3 linked regions of the Pelodiscus sinensis genome follow. The protein of the gene in region 3 purifies or fractionates together with the protein of the main gene of each other region. This does not show direct contact. Links are inferred from orthologs where the notes say so. Each region holds a gene or a part of one and is shown on either strand. Other genes may lie near its edges.

What was found.
Region 1: the proteins of WWC1 (region 3) and PTPN14 purify together in Homo sapiens (affinity purification with mass spectrometry; 7 studies listed by BioGRID and IntAct, counting the BioPlex papers as one, with this or other methods). This does not show direct contact. The link is inferred for Pelodiscus sinensis from reciprocal best matches to the Homo sapiens genes WWC1 and PTPN14.
Region 2: the proteins of WWC1 (region 3) and AMOT purify together in Homo sapiens (affinity purification with mass spectrometry; 3 studies listed by BioGRID and IntAct, with this or other methods). This does not show direct contact. The link is inferred for Pelodiscus sinensis from reciprocal best matches to the Homo sapiens genes WWC1 and AMOT.

What each region holds. Positions count from the first base shown.
Region 1 is NC_134713.1:149,087,538-149,093,461, forward strand, and holds the start of PTPN14 (tyrosine-protein phosphatase non-receptor type 14), read right to left. Parts: upstream 3,962-5,924; 5' UTR 3,009-3,961; exon of another isoform or gene 2,989-3,008; intron 1-2,988. UniProt on the Homo sapiens protein: Protein tyrosine phosphatase which may play a role in the regulation of lymphangiogenesis, cell-cell adhesion, cell-matrix adhesion, cell migration, cell growth and also regulates TGF-beta gene expression, thereby modulating epithelial-mesenchymal transition.
Region 2 is NC_134723.1:26,616,267-26,622,190, reverse strand, and holds the start of AMOT (angiomotin), read right to left. Parts: upstream 3,119-5,924; 5' UTR 2,968-3,118; intron 1-2,967.
Region 3 is NC_134727.1:8,390,953-8,396,876, forward strand, and holds the start of WWC1 (protein KIBRA), read right to left. Parts: upstream 3,530-5,924; 5' UTR 3,108-3,529; coding exon 2,989-3,107; intron 1-2,988. UniProt on the Homo sapiens protein: Regulator of the Hippo signaling pathway, also known as the Salvador-Warts-Hippo (SWH) pathway.

The sequences.
Region 1 (5,924 bases), on a different chromosome or scaffold from region 3:
TGCTTGCAGGGAGCCAACTTTTAAGCAGGGTCCCTGTGAGAACTGGCTTCCGAGGCAGAACCCGGTGCTCATGGGGCCAGCTCCCCACAAGCCACCTGCCCCACATTTCTGTACTGCTACTACTGTATCAGAGGCAGCAGTGCAGGCAGGCAGGAGAGGAGCCAGTGTTCACAGGGAGCCAGCTTTCAAACCAGCTCCTCATGTGCACCAGTTCCCATGGAGCCGCCTCCCACCCCCTGTATGTAAAAATGCAACCACTGAAAAATTCAGCAGTTACGTGTTTATAAAAATGCTTTTTAACATCCACTGGCACTTATTGACCAGCTGCGATATACATGAAGAGCCATTAACAACAATGGCTAATTGAATCTGAGACCTGTCCAAGAAGATTACTTTACCTTAGGGCCATGCCAGTCATCAAATCCTCCTAGTGAGCCAGCGGGCACACGCCTCTGGCAGGGCCCTGGGAGGGGTGGGAGAGGACACATGCTCCCCAGCCCTGCCTGCCACCCTGGGGCAATTTAAACCCCATCGGGGGCCTCCATTGCTACCAGCAGCAGTACAGCAGGGGCTAGAGCAGCTTCTGGTTGCAAGCTCTGCATCACTGTCAGGACATCCCTGTGGTCTGGGGACATGTGTGCAGAGCTATCCCATCCATAGGATGGGTGGGGGAAGCTGCTCAGGGCTCCACTCTTTGTGGGCCCCCATGGCCATTCCAACCTCCTACAGATGGTCTGATCCCTCACACTCAGGTTAGCCTGTGGGAGGGGCGGCTGGGGTCAGGCTTCCCGGCACTCACCACAATGGTGGGAGCCGCAGGGAAGTGGAGCGATGCAGCGGCCTGCTCCTCTCTGTCACCATCTCCCAGGTTAGCCCAGTCGCTTTGCTTCCTGCAATGCAGGAGGGAGAGAGGGGCCCGATCACCTGATGCCACCCTGCACCAGGCCTCCTAGTAATCCCAGAGGCCACATCCCTCGGGGGAGGTGTTTGGGATAAGGGGTGTAATGGGTGGAGAGGAAAGAGCAGGAGTGGGAAGAAGTGGGGCAAGGCAGAGTAGGAGGGGGATGAAGGGTACTGACCCCTCCAGGGCCACAGGGACTCATGTGCTGGACTGGGGAGCTGCCTGGGCTGTAGATGGCCTGCGACCCATGAGTTTGAGACCCCGGCTCAAGGAACACCACTGTACTAAGACTAGCTGTGGCAAGGGGAATGCAAATATTTGAAAGTCACGGATTTTAAATGTTTTCTTTTTTAGGCACATTGTATACATGAAGCAGTATTAATGGCTCCATCCTGCAGCATTCACCCATATGGGCCCTGATCCTCCAGTGAGACTTGACAGAGCCCATGTAATTGTACCATCAGACCTTTACATGGGCATATGGCCATAAAGTTGTAATTGCAGGCTTGGAAACCCATGAGTTATTCCACAGATTTAAAGGATTATCATTGGAATGAGAGCTTCAGGACTGGGCCCAAAATCAGCAGTTTGCATGGCTCAAAACTTCTGAATCATGCCCACTGGATTTAGGTTTAGGCTCCAATCCTTCAAGAAACTCAGCTAGGCAAACCCACTATGTTAGTGCAGAGATCCACTAAAATCAAGGGATCTACACAGTCATTTACAGATCAATGCCTAAATCTATTCTATGCACACATAATACAGTAACCCCTGATATTTTAAAGTAGTCCAATGTTAGCTATGATCTACAGCTGGGGTGGGGAACCTAAGGCCCGGGGCCAGATGCAGCCCCCAGCTTGCCTCATCTGGCCCTCAAGGCAATCAGAGTTGTCCCCAGCATTGGGGAGCCCATGCTGGTGAAAAAAGAGAGAGAGAGAGAGAGAGAGAGAGAGAGAGAGTGGGTGGTTGTTGTTTCTTACTTGTGTGCAGCCCCTCACTGATTTTTCTGTGGGTCAGTGGCCCCCAAACCAAAAAAGGTTCGCCAGCTACAACCTTCCTTAAAGGGCAATAGCAAACTGTGGAGTCTGTATGTCATTATAAAGTTTGATACAATTTCAAATGAATGGTCAGAATAGACCAGAAAACAATGACAATTTCCAGCAAAAACGTCTCCTAAAAACTAGATGGCTTTTGTGGCTTTTACACTGTGCTAGACCCTTTGTTGTTTTTTAAGTTTTTCCAGTTACAGACTAACTCGGCTACCCCTCTGAGGTATTATTTGTTTCTATGAAGTTAAAGTTACAGCTGCAACAGAAAGATGCTTATAATGGAATTACTTCTCAAACCAAAACTACAGTGTTCATGATGGGCAAAAATATTAAGGCACATACACACAGGCACGCACCCACCCAATACCTTATGTACATCCCAAATGGATTATAATTAGTGAGGAGGCTACTTTTGACTTTTTTAAGATTCAGGAACTTTGGAACATGAGAAATGAGAAGGGATACCCCACACAGTCTTGTATAACAGGAATTTCTGCCCAACTTGTTACAACGTTCGCTATCCAGTGGAATGGCCAGTATAGATTAACTTGTTACAGTGCTTATAGCTAACAAAGAACAAGGTAAATCCATCCCGCTGGGGTGGGGCAAATGAAAGGAGAGGAGGATCCTGGAAGCTGAACAGAGTCCTGCCAAATAGAAAGCAGCTCAGCAGAAGGCTAAGGTTGTCCTAATTGGTTCTATAAACCCTATATTGAAACATCAGCTTTCCTTACATATTAGGGCTTGTCTAATTATATTTACACAGAGTGGCCTTGTTTTATTAAAATTCACAAACAGGTAGTTTATCTGTAGCACGCAGCAGTTTCAGTTTAAATATATTTGCATTATATACACAATGCGTCCTGGACTGCGTTGCAACGGAGGATACTTTATAATAGATGGGGGCAGATTTCTATACCCCCCCCCCCGCGCTATAAATTATGGCAAGCCTTGTTTTAAAAGTCACTCTCGCTCCGGCGCTGCGATCCGCGGGATAAGCAAGTCCGAGCGCTAACTCCACACAAGCCAGTCACGCTTGAGGAAACGCGGCTGCTTACCTGCGTTTACACGCCCAGGCAGCTTCTCCTCTCGCGGCGCGCTGGGAACGGGCTCCCCCTTCTTCGGGGAAACGGCAGCAAGAGCCGCTCAGCCTTCGAGCGAAACCTCCGGGTGGGTTTCCCGGCGTGGAGAAAGAGGTTTCCGCCTTGATCCCAAGCGGCGCGGGGCGGGGGGGGGCGTAGGAACCGGTGCCGCTGGGAAGAGGAGCTGATTGCGGCACAAGGCGAGGGAACCGGGGGGGCTGTCTGGATTGTGGGCTCCGCCGCCCCCGCGCGCTACGCCTGTCTCTGCCGCGGCGGGGAAAGTTTGCGGGAGTTTGGGGCGGCGGAGGCAGGAAGCCCCGGCCGGGAGGGGAGCTCCCGCGGCAGCCCGGGGGCGGGGGAAGGAGCGAGGCAGGGGGCGGCGGCGGAGCCGGAGCGGGCCGGCGCGGCTGTGTGCGGCGCGGGGCTGGAGCCGCGGCCGGGCGCGCAGTCACAGCCCTGGAATGCCAGGAATGCGGAGCGGCCGCTGCGCCGCCGGGGCCCGAGACGGCGGGGACTTGACATGGGCTTTCTCCGGCTTGTTTTCCCTCGCACGAGAGGAGGGACGAGGCCTGTCCCAGGGAGGAAGAGGAGGGGCAGGCTCCTGCCAATCCCGCCGGCTGCTGCCCGGGCCCGGGCGGCAGGGGTGTCGCGGGTTTCTGGGGAGCCCCCTGCGCCACCTCCTCGCGAGTCAGTGGAGACAGGCCGGGAGCGGGGGGCGGGAATGCTGAGCGAGCCCGGGGGAGGCAAGGGCTGAGTCAGTCCGCAGTGGGTTTGGCGGAGGAGCGGGCACTGAGGCAGCCCATGTCTTTGGGAGGCCGGCCTGCTTCTCTGCCCTGCTTTGCCGCCACCCGGGATTGCGACTGGCCCTTGGTCCTCCCGCTTCCGGCTGTCTGGTGCATCCACCCTTCCCTCCTTCTCCTTCCCTGCCCTCAGCTCCTTTCCCTGTGCTAGGTGAAGGGCTCCCAGCTCCGCTCCTCCCCCCTCCCCCCACCCGTTCTCTTGTGTGGGGAACAGTAAATTCAATGGCTTACAGGTACTGCCCTGTCACACACCCGGGGGGAGGGGAGCTCAGGGCAGGCAGGGGGTGGGGAGCTGTGATGTGCATGCGTCTGGACCTGTAAGAAATATAAGTTTGGGCTGAAGTGTGGACTCAGGGCAGGGCAGGGCTGGTGTCTGGAATGGCGCAGGAGTCAGAGCAGCGAACTGGGAATGTGGGAAGTGTAGGGGGTATGATGAGAGGCCCAGGGCAGAGGCTTTGGTTGTGGGATGTGGGAAGAGGCTTAGGACAGGGGCCTGGGAGGGGGGGTGGAAGGGCTTGGACAGTTCCAGTTGCTGCCAGGTCACCTTTCCTGGCTGGTGGACAGGTCCCTGCCTGCTGCTCCTGTTCCCTGCGCTGCCACAAGTTGAGCTGTGCGCTGGCTGTGCGGCAGCGCTGCTGTAGGGAAACCCATAGCAGTGTTAGAGACCCCCTGGCCTGTGCTCCTTTCCCCTGGCTTTTTCCCAGTGGCTGCTGGCAGCAGTGCATGCATGTGTGCTGCTCAGCATCCAGCAAGAGAGGGGCAGCAGGACAGGCATGAATGCACTAAGACTGTGGCTGGGAGCTCGAACCCCACCCTGACAGCGTGTTCCCATGCAGCCCCCTTCACACATGCCTGCCTCACGTAGCTGCATGTGCGGGAGCACAAGTGCCAGCCCACTGCAGAAACCATGGGAGCCCAGCTCCGTGAACATGCTGCATTGCGCACCCCTATAGCGGAGCGTTCGGCAGATTGTCCCAGCTGACTCTTGCCCGCACAGCAGTACACAGCCTTACTTTCACATCTGGTGAGGAGCCACTCTTATCCAGGGGAAGGACACTGGAGAATCCAGCTGCAACCAGTTCTTTCTGCTCATGGCCAATTATTTGCTGGGCTCCTGCAGAGGGAGTAGATGAAATACTCCCTGGCTACGTCTACACTGGCCCCTCTTCCGGAAGGGGCATGTAAATTTCAAGAGTCGTCGTAGGGAAATCCGCGGGGGATTTAAATATCCCCCGCGGCATTTAAATAAAAATGTCCGCCGCTTTTTTCCGGCTTTTAAAAAAGCCGGAAAAGAGCGTCTAGACTGGCCCCGATCCTCCGGAAAAAGCGCCCTTTTCCGGAGGCTCTTATTCTTACTTCAAAGTAAGAATAAGAGCCTCCGGAAAAGGGCACTTTTTCCGGAGGATCGGGGCCAGTCTAGACGCTTTTTTCCGGCTTTTTTAAAAGCCGGAAAAAAGCGGCGGACATTTTTATTTAAATGCCGCGGGGGATATTTAAATCCCCCGCGGATTTCCCTACGACGACTCTTGAAATTTACATGCCCCTTCCGGAAGAGGGGCCAGTGTAGACGTAGCCCCTGGCTACTGGCAATGCTGGCGCCACATGCACCCGTTGTTTGCAAGAGAAACCACAGAGGAAACCCTGCGGTCCCCCCCAGACATGTGATGGAGTATCACAGATGGGAATCTTATGCAAGAAATAACTATTGGTAAATGAGGAAGGGTCATTCTGCTCTAAGGTTGGCTGAGGAGCATGATTGGAGCACACTGTACCAGGCTGCAGCTTCTGCTAAGATGATGAATCCGTTACGAGTGAACTAGTGTTAAGAATATGTAGACCCTGCATATAATTCCCCAGATATGTATAGAGTTTTGCAGGTGTTGCGTATTTAAATAATGAAAATCACAATGTTTTTACACCTATAAAGAGCCCTTGTTTGCTAAAAATCAAGAGAAAGTTACCTAAACCCAGATTTTTAATCTTGCATTAAACCACTTTTAGCTTTTAACGTCACCTTTCTCTGCTTGATTTCAGGCTATGGGACACTGTTTAGGAGGGTAGTTTGAGTTAGCAGAGTGGGGGAGAAAGAAAT
Region 2 (5,924 bases), on a different chromosome or scaffold from region 3:
AGATTCAACTTAAGAACCCCAAGCTTCCCCAAGTCAGCTGCTGCTGAAACTGATCAGCGGCTGATTCCAGGAAGCCTGGGGCAGAGCAACTCTGCCTCGGGCTTCCTGTAGTCAGCGCTGGTCAGCAAAGCCTCAGAAGCGCGGGAACCCGCCCAGTGTCCCTGGTCTGCTGGAGACGGTCTCCAGCAGACCAGGGGCACCGGAGCAGCTTACGAACGGGGCTTTCTCGCCCGGAGCTCGCAGGTAGCAATCTGCCACCTCAATCTCCGGGGCGAGAAAGCCCCGTTCGTAAGTGCGGATCTGACGTAAGTCAGATCCGCGTAAGTCGGGGACTGCCTGTACTGGAGGTATGGAATTTTATTTGAGGGGTGTGGAAATTGTGGTTATATGAACTAGCTTTTTGTGGTTTGCCACTGCTGCTTTCATTATTGGATTGTTTTCTTAATTATCTGTTCAGAGCCTGCAACAGGCATTCTTAATACTTGTTCTTTAAAGCACTTCGAGATCTATTGATGAAAAGTGCTAGTAAAATCTAGGTATTACCATTTATTATTATATATTGGAATAAAAATAAAATTAAAACAGACGCTTTCCTTCCCCAAAAAAGTCATATCTCTTGTTTCTCTCATACCATTTTGGGACTGAAATTAGGATCTTTGTTAAGAGTAAACCGATTTTTTGTGTGTGAAATCTCAGAGGGGTAGCCCTGTTAGTCTGTATCTGCAAAAACAATGAGGAGTCCTGTAGCATCTTAAAGACTAACAAATTTATTTGTGTAGAAGCTAGGGATGTAATAGTACCATAATTTAAACTGATAAGCCTAGGCTTATCAGTTACCGTTAACGGTTACATGCAGGTTCTCCGCCCCATTCCTGGGGAGCTGGTTGCCACCCTGTGCTGCTCGCTCTGTATCAGAGCCTGCAATGCAGGATGGCAGCAGGCCAGCTGGCAGGAGCCAGTATGCACTGGGAGCCGGCTTAAAAGCCAGTATGCCCAGGGAGCCGGCTGCATTTTAAAGCTTATACTGCAAAGTCTGCAGCGCTGCCAGCTCCCCAGGAGTGGGGCCAGCCAGCTCTGCTCCCAAGGAGCCAGTTGTGCTTTGGGGCTCTGCAGTATAAGCTTTACACTGCAGAGCCTGCAGTGTAATCATGTAACTGCTGAGAATTTTCAGTGGTTACATGGTTACCTAATTAACCACTTTTTAACATCCATAGCATAAGCTTTCTTGGTTAAAAAAACGCTTTGTCAGATGTGTATTTATGTGAAGTGACACAGAGGAAGTTTAAACCCCGCACTTTGGTCTCTGCTCTGATCCCTTTGAGATATGTAAGCCATGCAGCTGAGGATTCCTCCAATATAGGAAGCTGCAGGAGAAAGGAGCATTACTGAGAGACTTGTGCAGCAGGCATTATCCACTAGTAGAACAGATCCTAGGAAGCTACTGCTGTGGGAACTATGGGCTGCTCCAACTGATGTTAAGGGTCTATCTGTTCCTGGCTGTGCCCAACATAGAAAGTTTAAACCCACCTTCAGTCCACTTTATGAGCTATGCTTCCACAGAACCCAAGATCTAGCTCTTAATGCTCACTTAAATTAATGGGATTTATTCCCTCCCTGTGCTTGGATTACAAGGTCAGGCTTATAGTGGATATTTAATAGGTTTAACAGAGACAGACTCCCAACCTTTATATTCTCCTGATTTGCCATCACCTCAGTGCCTGGCCTCCAAGATCACTAGGCCCAGACCCTGCCCATGGCTGCAGTGATTAGCAGGATCCCTACACTTGTTAAAAAACAGAAATAAATTTGTGGAGCTACATGTGATTTGCAGGAAGTGGCAGAATACTAGACCTACTGCCTCTGCTGGGATTATTGCAGACTGAGTGAAAAGCTTGTCCTCGCAACACATCCCAGACAAGGGATATGGATTCACTTACTCTCTTCCAAATTTAATGAGGCCATAGCGGACAGGGAAAGGGAGCAAAATCTTTATGCAGATGCTACAGGTTTGGAGCTGTGGATCCAGGTAGAACAGGACAGTCCCTCACTTTGGTGATGGGGAAGGGGGCTCTCTCTGGGCCATAAAGTAAGCTGGAGGTGGGGTCCTTTCCTCTATCCGATCGATGCCCCCACTCCTCTTGTATTAGTACACACAGATACTAATGAATGCCGCAGCCTCCCCCCCCTCCCCGATCATAAAAGGAATCTGTGGTAGAGCCAAGAACTAAACATAGGTCTCCAAGCGCCCCAGCCACAAAAACACACCCCACAGCTCCTTTCTCTGGTGTGTAAAAGGAGAGGAGGGGAAGAGAGGGGAGACATCCCGTCTCTCAATGGGGGGTGGGGGGGGAGACAGCTCCTTTGGAGCCATACAGAGAGTGCAGAGGAGTGAATGAAGCCAGCCTGCACCTCTCTCAGTACTTTGGCTCCGGTGCAGATGGGGGGCAGAAGGGGAGGGCAGCCCCCTCCGTCAACTGCGGGGAGTCAGTGGACTCTGGGGAAGGAGCAGAGGGGGGACGAGATGGGCAGCAGGGTAAAGCCAGCCCCCCCCCCCCTTCTTGGCTCCGGTGGGGGAGGGGGGATCCCGCAGGTTTTGTTTCTCCCGGTTGCCGAGTGGAGGGAGCTAGAGCCACAAATCCGTCTCCGCAAACGTCCTGGAGAGTAAAGCCCCGCGGCAGGGCGAAGCGGCGCAACCAGCCCGCCCCTGCCCTTTGTTAGTGGCTACAAAGCAGTTCAAAGGGCAGCGGCGGAGAAGCTCCTGCGGCGCCTTTTCCTTCCCGGCGCTGCTGAGCCGCTCCCTGCAGAACGCCCTGTGCCCGGCACACAAGCCGCGCTGCCTCCCGGCAGCCACAGCCCCGGGGCGGAGCTCGCCTGCACCGGCAGCCGCGGGACTGCGCAAGGTGCCCTCGTGTGCCGGGTAGATCATCCCCCCCACGCACCCTGGGGGGCAGTGCCCCATGTGCTTACCCCGTGGGCACCTGCCCCAGCAGCCGCCCACTCATCCATCTTGCGCCGCTCCCCCTAGAGGTGACCAAGGCGGCACGACAATGAGACACACCGAGGAGCTCTGGGAACTGCCTGACGCCGCTTCGGGGATTAACTTTCACTAGGCTGCTCCAACTACAATTCCCAGCATGCCCCGCTGTGGGAACCCGCTGCAACGTCTTCTGGGAAGTGTAGTTCTCTCACCATGGCACCCACCCCCCGAAAGGTCCCCAGGGAAGACGAGATTCCGCTGCTGCATTCAGGGTTCTCAGCCCAGATCCCAATGCGTTGTGAGCCCTATTTAAAATAACCACCCCTGCCATAGTCTTTTCTCTAGACAAAAAGCAACCTTTTGCTTGAGTGACTGATGTTAGGCTAAGGCAGAGGGTGTCCAATTCACTCTTGGCTGCTCATAGTGTTGTTTTAGGCATTACTTACACACACCCTCTCTCTCCCTCTGACCATAAAAGCTCTTCCCCCGATTTTATTCAATTTGAGGAAAGCTACAACTTCAGAAGGTTGAAATTTGCACTTAGTAGATTGCACATGAAATCTAAATGCTTATATTTTACATTTGAGATTGTGGAATCCAATTTGGCCTGTGGGAGAAAAGAAACTAGAAATAGCTTTTTAAACAAACATTTTAATCTTAATTATTCATGCAGGTCAGAATAAGCTATGTAGATGTTTGCAGGTATGGCTTCAGCTATCATTCATGTTTTGTAGGTAGCTGCACTCCACAGTCCTGTCTCATCCATCTAGCTCTACTGACAACACAACACAGCACAGCACAGCAGATGCTGTGCCATTCTTGTTATGTCTCTAGACTGTGGTGGAGCAATAAAAAAATTCTCTTTATGTAGCAGTTTTCTCAGTATTTCTCCAGTAAAAGGTCAGTATGTGCCCATCAAGTACTACCAACATTTTTTTTCCATCATCAGCACCATAAAAATTGCTCAGAAGCAAATGTGATTAAGGGCAGCATCCATACACAGTGATTTCTGTTGTTGCCTGATTATGAAATTTGCTACTTATATTTAAAAAGTTTCAGTTTCAAAATCACTTATCTGAATTAGTGTAGCTTTAAACCCATAAAACTCACTGCCCCTAAATGATTCCAAGCCTCACTGTGTTCACAATACAGGCAGTCGCCGAGTTACGTGGATCCGACTTATGTCGGATCCGCACTTACGAACGGGGCTCTCTCGCCCCAGAGCTCGCAGGCAGTGGGACTGCCCAGAGCGCAGCGGTCCCGCCACCTCGACCTCCGGGGCGAGAAAAGCTGCTCCGGGTGCCCCTGGTCTGCTGGGGACCATCTCCAGCAGACCAGGGACACCGGGAGCAAAGCTGGGGAGGCGGAGGGGTCCCGCGCCTCTGAGGCTTTGCTCTGGCAAAGCCTCAGAGGCACGAGACTCCACTGCCGCTGCCGCTTTGCTCCCGGTGCCTCTGGTCTGCTGGGGACCGTCTCCAGCAGACCAGAGACACCTGGAGCAAAGCCGGGGAGGCAGACCCACCGCCCCTGCGGCTTTGCTCCCCGTGTCCCTGGTCTGCTGGGGGGGGCGCAGCTAGTGGTCCCCCTCCCCCCTCCAGCAGACCAGGAAGACGTGGAGCAAAGCCCCAGGCCTGTGGTAGAGCAGGTGGGGCGCTGCCGGTTGGTCCCGCAGCACCGCTCCTTGGTGCTACTGGACCAACCCAGTAGCACCCCAGCTGCTCTGCCCCAGGCGTCCCCAAGTCAGCCGCTGCTGAAACTGACCAGTGGCTGACTACAGGAAGCCCCTGCCCCGGGCTTCCTGGAATCAGCCGCTAATCAGTTTCAGCAGCAGCTAACTTGGGGATGCCTGGGGTTCTTAAGTTGAATCTGTATGTAAGTCAGAACTGGCGTCCAGATTCAGCCGCTGTTGAAACTGATCAGTTTCAGCAGCGGCTGAATCTGGACGCCAGTTCCGACTTACATACAGATTCAACTTAAGAACAAACCTACAGTCCCTATCTGGTACGTAACCCGGGGACTACCTGTAGTAATAGAAATTTAGCCATGTAAGTCTGGTGTAGCTGAAGCAAAATGCAGGACTATGTAGCACTTTAAAGACTAACAAGATGGTTTATTAGATGATGAGCTTTCGTGGGCCAGACCCACTTCCTCAGATCAAATAGTGGAAGAAAATAGTCACAACCATATATACCAAAGGATACAATTAAAAAAAATGTAATGGTAGCTCACAGACATCTAACTTTCCCCACCTCTAATATCATTAATTCACAGACACTTACCTTCCTTCCTTCGCCCCCCCCCCCCCCCACACATCCCTCTTCTGTTCTGAAATGAGATTTGTCCTTTTCATATGTGTTCATTTTTTTTAATTGTATCCTTTGGTATATATGGTTGTGACTATTTTCTTCCACTATTTGATCTGAGGAAGTGGGTCTGGCTCACGAAAGCTCATCATCTAATAAACCATCTTGTTAATCTTTAAAGTGCTACATAGTCCTGCATTTTGTGTTCACAATGTGATTTGAGAACTCTCTCTTTACATATGCCATCCTGACAGGGCCAAAGATACAGTAAAAAAGAACATTGCAAAATGAGCATACAGGAGATCCCCATACTAATTGAATTAGTAGGCAGCATAGTTCTCAGCCATTTAAAATTTCATGCTACCCTTAAATTTGTTTTAGCACCTAGAAACCACTGTGATGAAATACTTTATAAATATCTTGATAGATGACGTCAATGGCTTTTTCTTATACACTGCTGTATTTGCATTTTTTTTACATAAACCTGGCATAGTTTTAAATGATAATCTTCTTTAATATTCTGCTTTTATGTTTTAATTATATTTGCTTAGAATTTGGTTGGGAGTGATAAATCAAAAACATTACAGGTTCTCACTGATACACAGCTTGTGGTTTGTGGGCCACATATGGCCCATCAGGTTTCT
Region 3 (5,924 bases):
AACAGATTACTTTTGTATACAATATGCACACAAAAGATTACTCCTGAAATGCAGATGCTCCCTGAAATCCTGTAAAGTTTTATAGGAACTGGACAAATAATTTGTTTTCATAGCTAATTAACATGTGGATGTCAGATAAATAACTGGATTAGAATCAAATCAATATGTGGCCATCTTAATTCCAACAAATATAATGGAAAAGCTTAAACAAAGAATCAATTGTTGGGGGGGAAATAATCAATTACAAAAGTTAACTAGAAACAGACTTCTAATTACCACACAAGACAGACTCCATTTAACTATTTAAAATTATTACAGTAACATTCTGAGACACCTTATGCTTGTTATAGTTGTTTTGGACTATGAATTTCTTTAAAAAAAATGTAAGTAAGTCCAAGAATCCTGAAACTTCAGCAAAGTTTCACATAGTGTACAATTTTATAAATTTAGATCACTTTAGCATTTTAGAAGTGTTAACATAGTATTTTGAGGCACAAGTCTCTTCAGTTGCAGTAATTGTACAATTAAAATGTGTTAAAAATCTGTCTCTTCACATGATCTCCTAAAGAAACAGTATAATTGACAGTTTCAGTGACATTTCTACAGATTAGCAAGAAAACTGAATTGATCACATGCTGATAATTTTAACTGCAATTTTTTAAGGAGACCTAAGTTGACAGAACATTCAAAAAGTAACTGGTATGGTGACTCACAGCAGATGCTTTTAATATCTTGAGCATAATTTATAATAATGATCAAAAGAATAATAGTGCACACTTCAAAGTAAAGTGGGTCAAGAAGGAAACTGAGCAGTAATACAAGGAGATATAAGAATGATCAGAGAAGCACTATGGGACATGACTAACTCCATGAATATCCGATGGGAATTTAAAAACAAATTCTGCGGCACCTCAGAGACTAACAAAAATATATTGGATCATGAGCTTTCGACTTCATCAGATGAGTTAGAATGAAAATAACAGAATCAGAGCAGTTAGTCAATTGTAGGACCTATGAGAATGTTAATAGGAATTTAGGTCATGATATTTTGTTTTAAAAAGATGGGTCAAAACATAGAACATGTCGTAATACAGCACTAATATACTACAGCACTGATCTTAGATCCATAGTCTCTGTCCAAAAGTCTCTAGGTGTTTGTAGAGCACACCACAATTTGATCCCAATCGTGATTCGAGTCTTTGAATGTTACTACAATCCAAATAATAATTTCAACATGCTTGATAAGAAGATTAGTGTCTATGTCAGATCTGCAAGAGCCCTGAAGTAACAAAGGGGACAAGACTCTTCTGTGAAACGAAATGGGAAACAAGAGCCAGAACAAGGACTCTTTGCCCAAATATTTATAATGCCACTTAGAAACCACAGTCAAGGATCAGAACCCCATCATGCTAGATACTGAACATCATGCAACAAAGAGAGTCCCTGCCACAGAGAATTTACAGTCTAGGTTTGAGGGATGGATGGAAGGGTGAGGAAACCAAAACAGTGACAAAACTGACTACTTTCCCTACCAATGCCAAAAAGAAATGATTTCTAGACATGGCAGAAGCATGTTTTAAAGAGTTTTTAAAGACAGTGCAAGGATTGTAAACAGGTTAGAAGGGAAACACAGGGAAGATAGAGACATAAGAGAACTGAGTAAGAGGTTCATTATAGCATACAGGACAAATAGAAGGTCATGACATCAGTCAAGGGATGTCTCTCACTTCCATTAACATTCTAATGGTTACCAAGTAGCTGTTAAACAGTGGCAAGCTAAGTGGCAGTGTAACACAACTAAACAAAAGGCTAAAGTCAAATCTTGAGTGTCAGCAGTGCAAATATAATAATGACAGGTTGCACCTGCAGAAGTTGGCCCAAAACTGCAGACTCTTGATCATCTGACAAACTTAAAGCAACCAGGACATTTCCAGGACACACTTTATATTGTGAATATATTATAATGCAGGTGGTCTACTTACAAGTCAAAATGTAAGAAGTCACTTTTTTATGGCTTAGGGGGCAAAAACGAACATTATAATGATTGCCCTTAGTAGCCAGAGTTAGGGGAACTCCTTCTCTTCCATCAAAAACAATAAACTGAATAATCTCAATGGAGTCAAATTGCATGCTTGGGATGGGACGGTGTTCCAGTTAGGCTAGGGACAGCATGGAAACATTTGAAACAGTAAAGGTCCTCTTTCCGGGTACATCTGACTGAATCAGGTAAGACCTTGATATTATTCAGTTAAACATCAGCTGTGTGAATTAGCCTTTCCTCAGCAGAGGTAGCAACACACACACCTATGAATCTAAATCCTTATCCCACACATTGAAAGGTACAGAGAATTTAGTCCTAACAGGTATTATGGTACCAACCATATTTATGAATTGATCGATGCATTTATTCATCAATCAAAATCAAATCACTTGTTTACTAAACACTTTATCCAGACTAGCACTAAGAGTCCCCGAAAATACTTTCTGGTCTACAGAGCAACATGCAGTTTCCCCACTATGAAAGTCAGTACGAGTCACCTTCCAACCTAGCAGTGACCCGAGAAAAGATTGTGCGGCTCAAGCAAAATTCAAAGTAGTTTTGTCCAGCCTCTTGCCCCCTAACGCTGAAGTTACGAGCCGCTATAGCCTATGCAGTGGAGAGAGCTCCCTCCGCAAAGAGAAGTGGTTTGGGGGGAATCAATGTAAACGTGCACCCAGCGCTGGGGGCTGTTACACATCTTGGTCAGGAGGCCTCTTTGGTCTGCGCCACTGGCAACTGCAGCAACAGAGGCTGAGCACACGCACCCCCCAGCCCTCTCCCGGGCCAGCCGTCGGGGGGGTCCAAGGAGCCAGTGCTCGTTAGCATCAGGCTCTTTGTGCTCCGGCGCTGCCCCTGCCCTGCGCGGCGGAGCAAACGCCTCTCGCCCTGCACCTGCCTGGCTGCCCCGACAGGCAGCGCGGGCGCGTCCAACCGGTCCGGCCTCATACCTGTCCCGCGGGTCGATCCAGCTGGTGCTTTGGCTGGTGTGGTCGATGTAATAGACTTTCCCGTCGAAGTCCCGGGCCTCCTCCCAGCCCGCTGGCAGAGGCAGCTCCTTCCTTGGCATCTTCTCCAGGCCGGCCTGAGCCGCCCCATGCAGCGCCCAGCCCCGCGCCTGGCGCCGGCAGGAGCAGCCGGGCTGGGGGGCGGCCCCCCCTTGCAAGGCCCGGGGCCTGGGGCAGCGGCGACCCGCCCAGGCGCTGCGAGGAGGACGCGGCGGGAGTCACATCCTACGCCCGGGGGAGCCGGAGATCCCGGCGCGGGCTCCCCTCACGCCTCCATTTCCAGCGCGGCTCCGGCCGCTCGGGGGTGGCTCCGCTCCTGCCGCTCCCGGCCCAGCCTGGCACCGCCGCGGCGGGGCGGGGGGTGTTGCTCCGCCCCGGCCCGAGCGCCCGGCCCGCCCCCAGGTGCTCCGGCGCGGCAGGTACCGGCGCGGCGGCCGCTGCTCCTGTAAACACGGGCGCACCGCAGGCAGGCGCCTCCCCATCCAGGGCACGGGGGTGGGCACAGCGCAGCCCCTCCCTCTGCCGCGCGCGGGGCTGGGCACCGGGCGGCACCTGCCCCGGACGCCGGCTGGGTCGCTCGGCGCCCCCCTGTGCCCAGCCGGGAGGGCGGGGTGGCCCCCCCCGAGCCATCTGCTCTCCCCGGCAGCGAGGGGCGGGGGCGTCTCGGGCTAGCGCGGCCCCAGGCAGAGCGGGCTAGTGGTTAGAACAGGGCACAGGTGAGGCAGGATCCCGCCCCTGACTCTGCGGAGCCTTCCCCGGGAAATTACCGGCCCCAGGTAGTCATGGCCGTGAGCTGGAGCGTGCACGGGGTTGTTTGTGGAGCCCAGCGTGGCAGCCTTAAGCAGCCACAGCCCTTACCCCAGTGCTACAGTCAACCAGTCCAGGAGGTCACCGCTCAGGCACCCCGCAGCTTGTGCTTGCTTTAGGGTGATGGGTTTCCTGGTCATTCCCTCCCACCCCATTCCTTTTATTTTTTCCAGATAGAAAGCTTTGGGTGGCATATTAAAATGGCTGGATTTAGCCAGTGTGCTCAGAGGAGACCCAAGGGCCGGGATCCACCAAGGTGTTTTGTCACCTAGTTGCAATTTTGGCTCCACTGCATAAATAAACTGAACTCTTAGGTACCAAAACTCACTTGGCACCTACATTTTTAAAGTGAAAGTTCCCCTGTATTGCAGACTGGGCATCCACAGGCCTGTGCCCCAGAGCAATTAATTGGATGTAGGGCTTGATCCAGCTGACAAGCTCAGAAGCCACCTACTGAATTGAGTCCATTCAAAATTCGGAGGGGTGGAGGGGAAAACAAAGTGATACCCAGCTTGTACTTTTAGCCCAGTGATTAAAGCAATTACCTGCAAGGTGGGAGACAGGGTCAATATCCCCCCATCCCAGAGGGGGAAGGATTCAAAATGGATCTCACATCCCAGGAAAATGCTCTAACCATTGGGCTAAGAGGGTGAGGAGTGCACTACTACCTCTCCTTCCATTTTGTGTGGAGTGAGGCAGGGGCACACTCATTTCCTCTAGCAGCATCAGTGGTACCATATAAGGTGACCATATTTCCCTATGTTGGATAAGGGACACCTGGTAAAATTACTCATATTCAAGTGAGGTCAGTGGCAAGCAGAACTATGCAGTACACACGTTCAAATTAACATCAAGTTGACTGCACTCCTATGAAAAAGAAATGCTGTGTGGCTGGAATCTTTTTATTTACCTCCTTATCTGTAAGGTTTGACTGTGACACACACAGTCCCGTAACCTCTCTGACACAGACATCCTTCCCCTTTATTCGGCTTTGGTGAGGCCGCATCTAGAGTATTATATCCAGTTCTGGGCCCCCCACTACAAAAAGGATGTGGACGCATTGGAGAGGGTCCAGCGGAGGGCAACCAAAATGATTAGGGGGCTGGAGCATATGACTTATGATGAGAGGCTGAGGGACTTGGGTCTGTTTAGTCTGCAGAAGCGAAGAGTGAGGGGAGATTTGATAGCAGCCTTCAACTTCCTGAAGGGAGCTTCCAAAGAGGATGGAGAGAGGCTGTTCTCAGTAGTGACAGATGGCAGAACAAGGAGCAATGGTCTCAAGTTGTGGTGGAAGAGGTCCAGGTTGGATATTAAGAAAAACTATTTCACTAGGAGGGTGGTGAAGCACTGGAATGGGTTATCTAGGGAAGTAGTGGAGTCTCCATCCCTAGAGGTGTTTAAGTCTCGGCTTGACAAAGCCCTGGCCGGGTTGATTTAGTTGGAATTGGTCCTGCCTAGAGCAGGGGGCTGGACTTGATGACCTTCTGAGGTCTCTTCCAGCTCTATGATTCTATGATTCACAGGGATAGGGGTGAGTAACCAGCCTGATGCAAGCCTCCCTGCACAGTACTGTATACACTGGCTGGGCTGCCAGGATGGATCCACCTCTTTTCAAGGCAACATGTGGGAGGGGGGGGGGGAAGGAAATGAAGGGTCACAGGCCCCTCCCCAAACCTCTGTCACAGTTCACACCAGTAGCAGCCTTTCATCCCTGTGCAGGAGGGAATGAATGGGAGCTGCTTCCAGCTGAAGGGAAATGGGGAGGGAAGACAGGGATGACCTGGCCCATGTTTTTTCACAGGTCATCTCCCCCCCACACACTGCTTCTCTGTGGCTAGAAGCAGCTTGTGCCTTCCTGCCAGCATAGTGCAGAAAGGCAGTTCACACCTCTAAACTGCCACTGGCCACCTACATAACCCAGTCACCTCCTGTCCCCTGGTTACAGTTCTGGCAGGAAGGAGTTAAGCCCTAAGGATGTATTGAGCATCAAAGCATAGGGAACCTGACTGCAGGGCTTCCCTGAACTGGGCCAGAGAGGTGGCTCAGCACAGGGTGTCTAGGGTAAGAGCAGG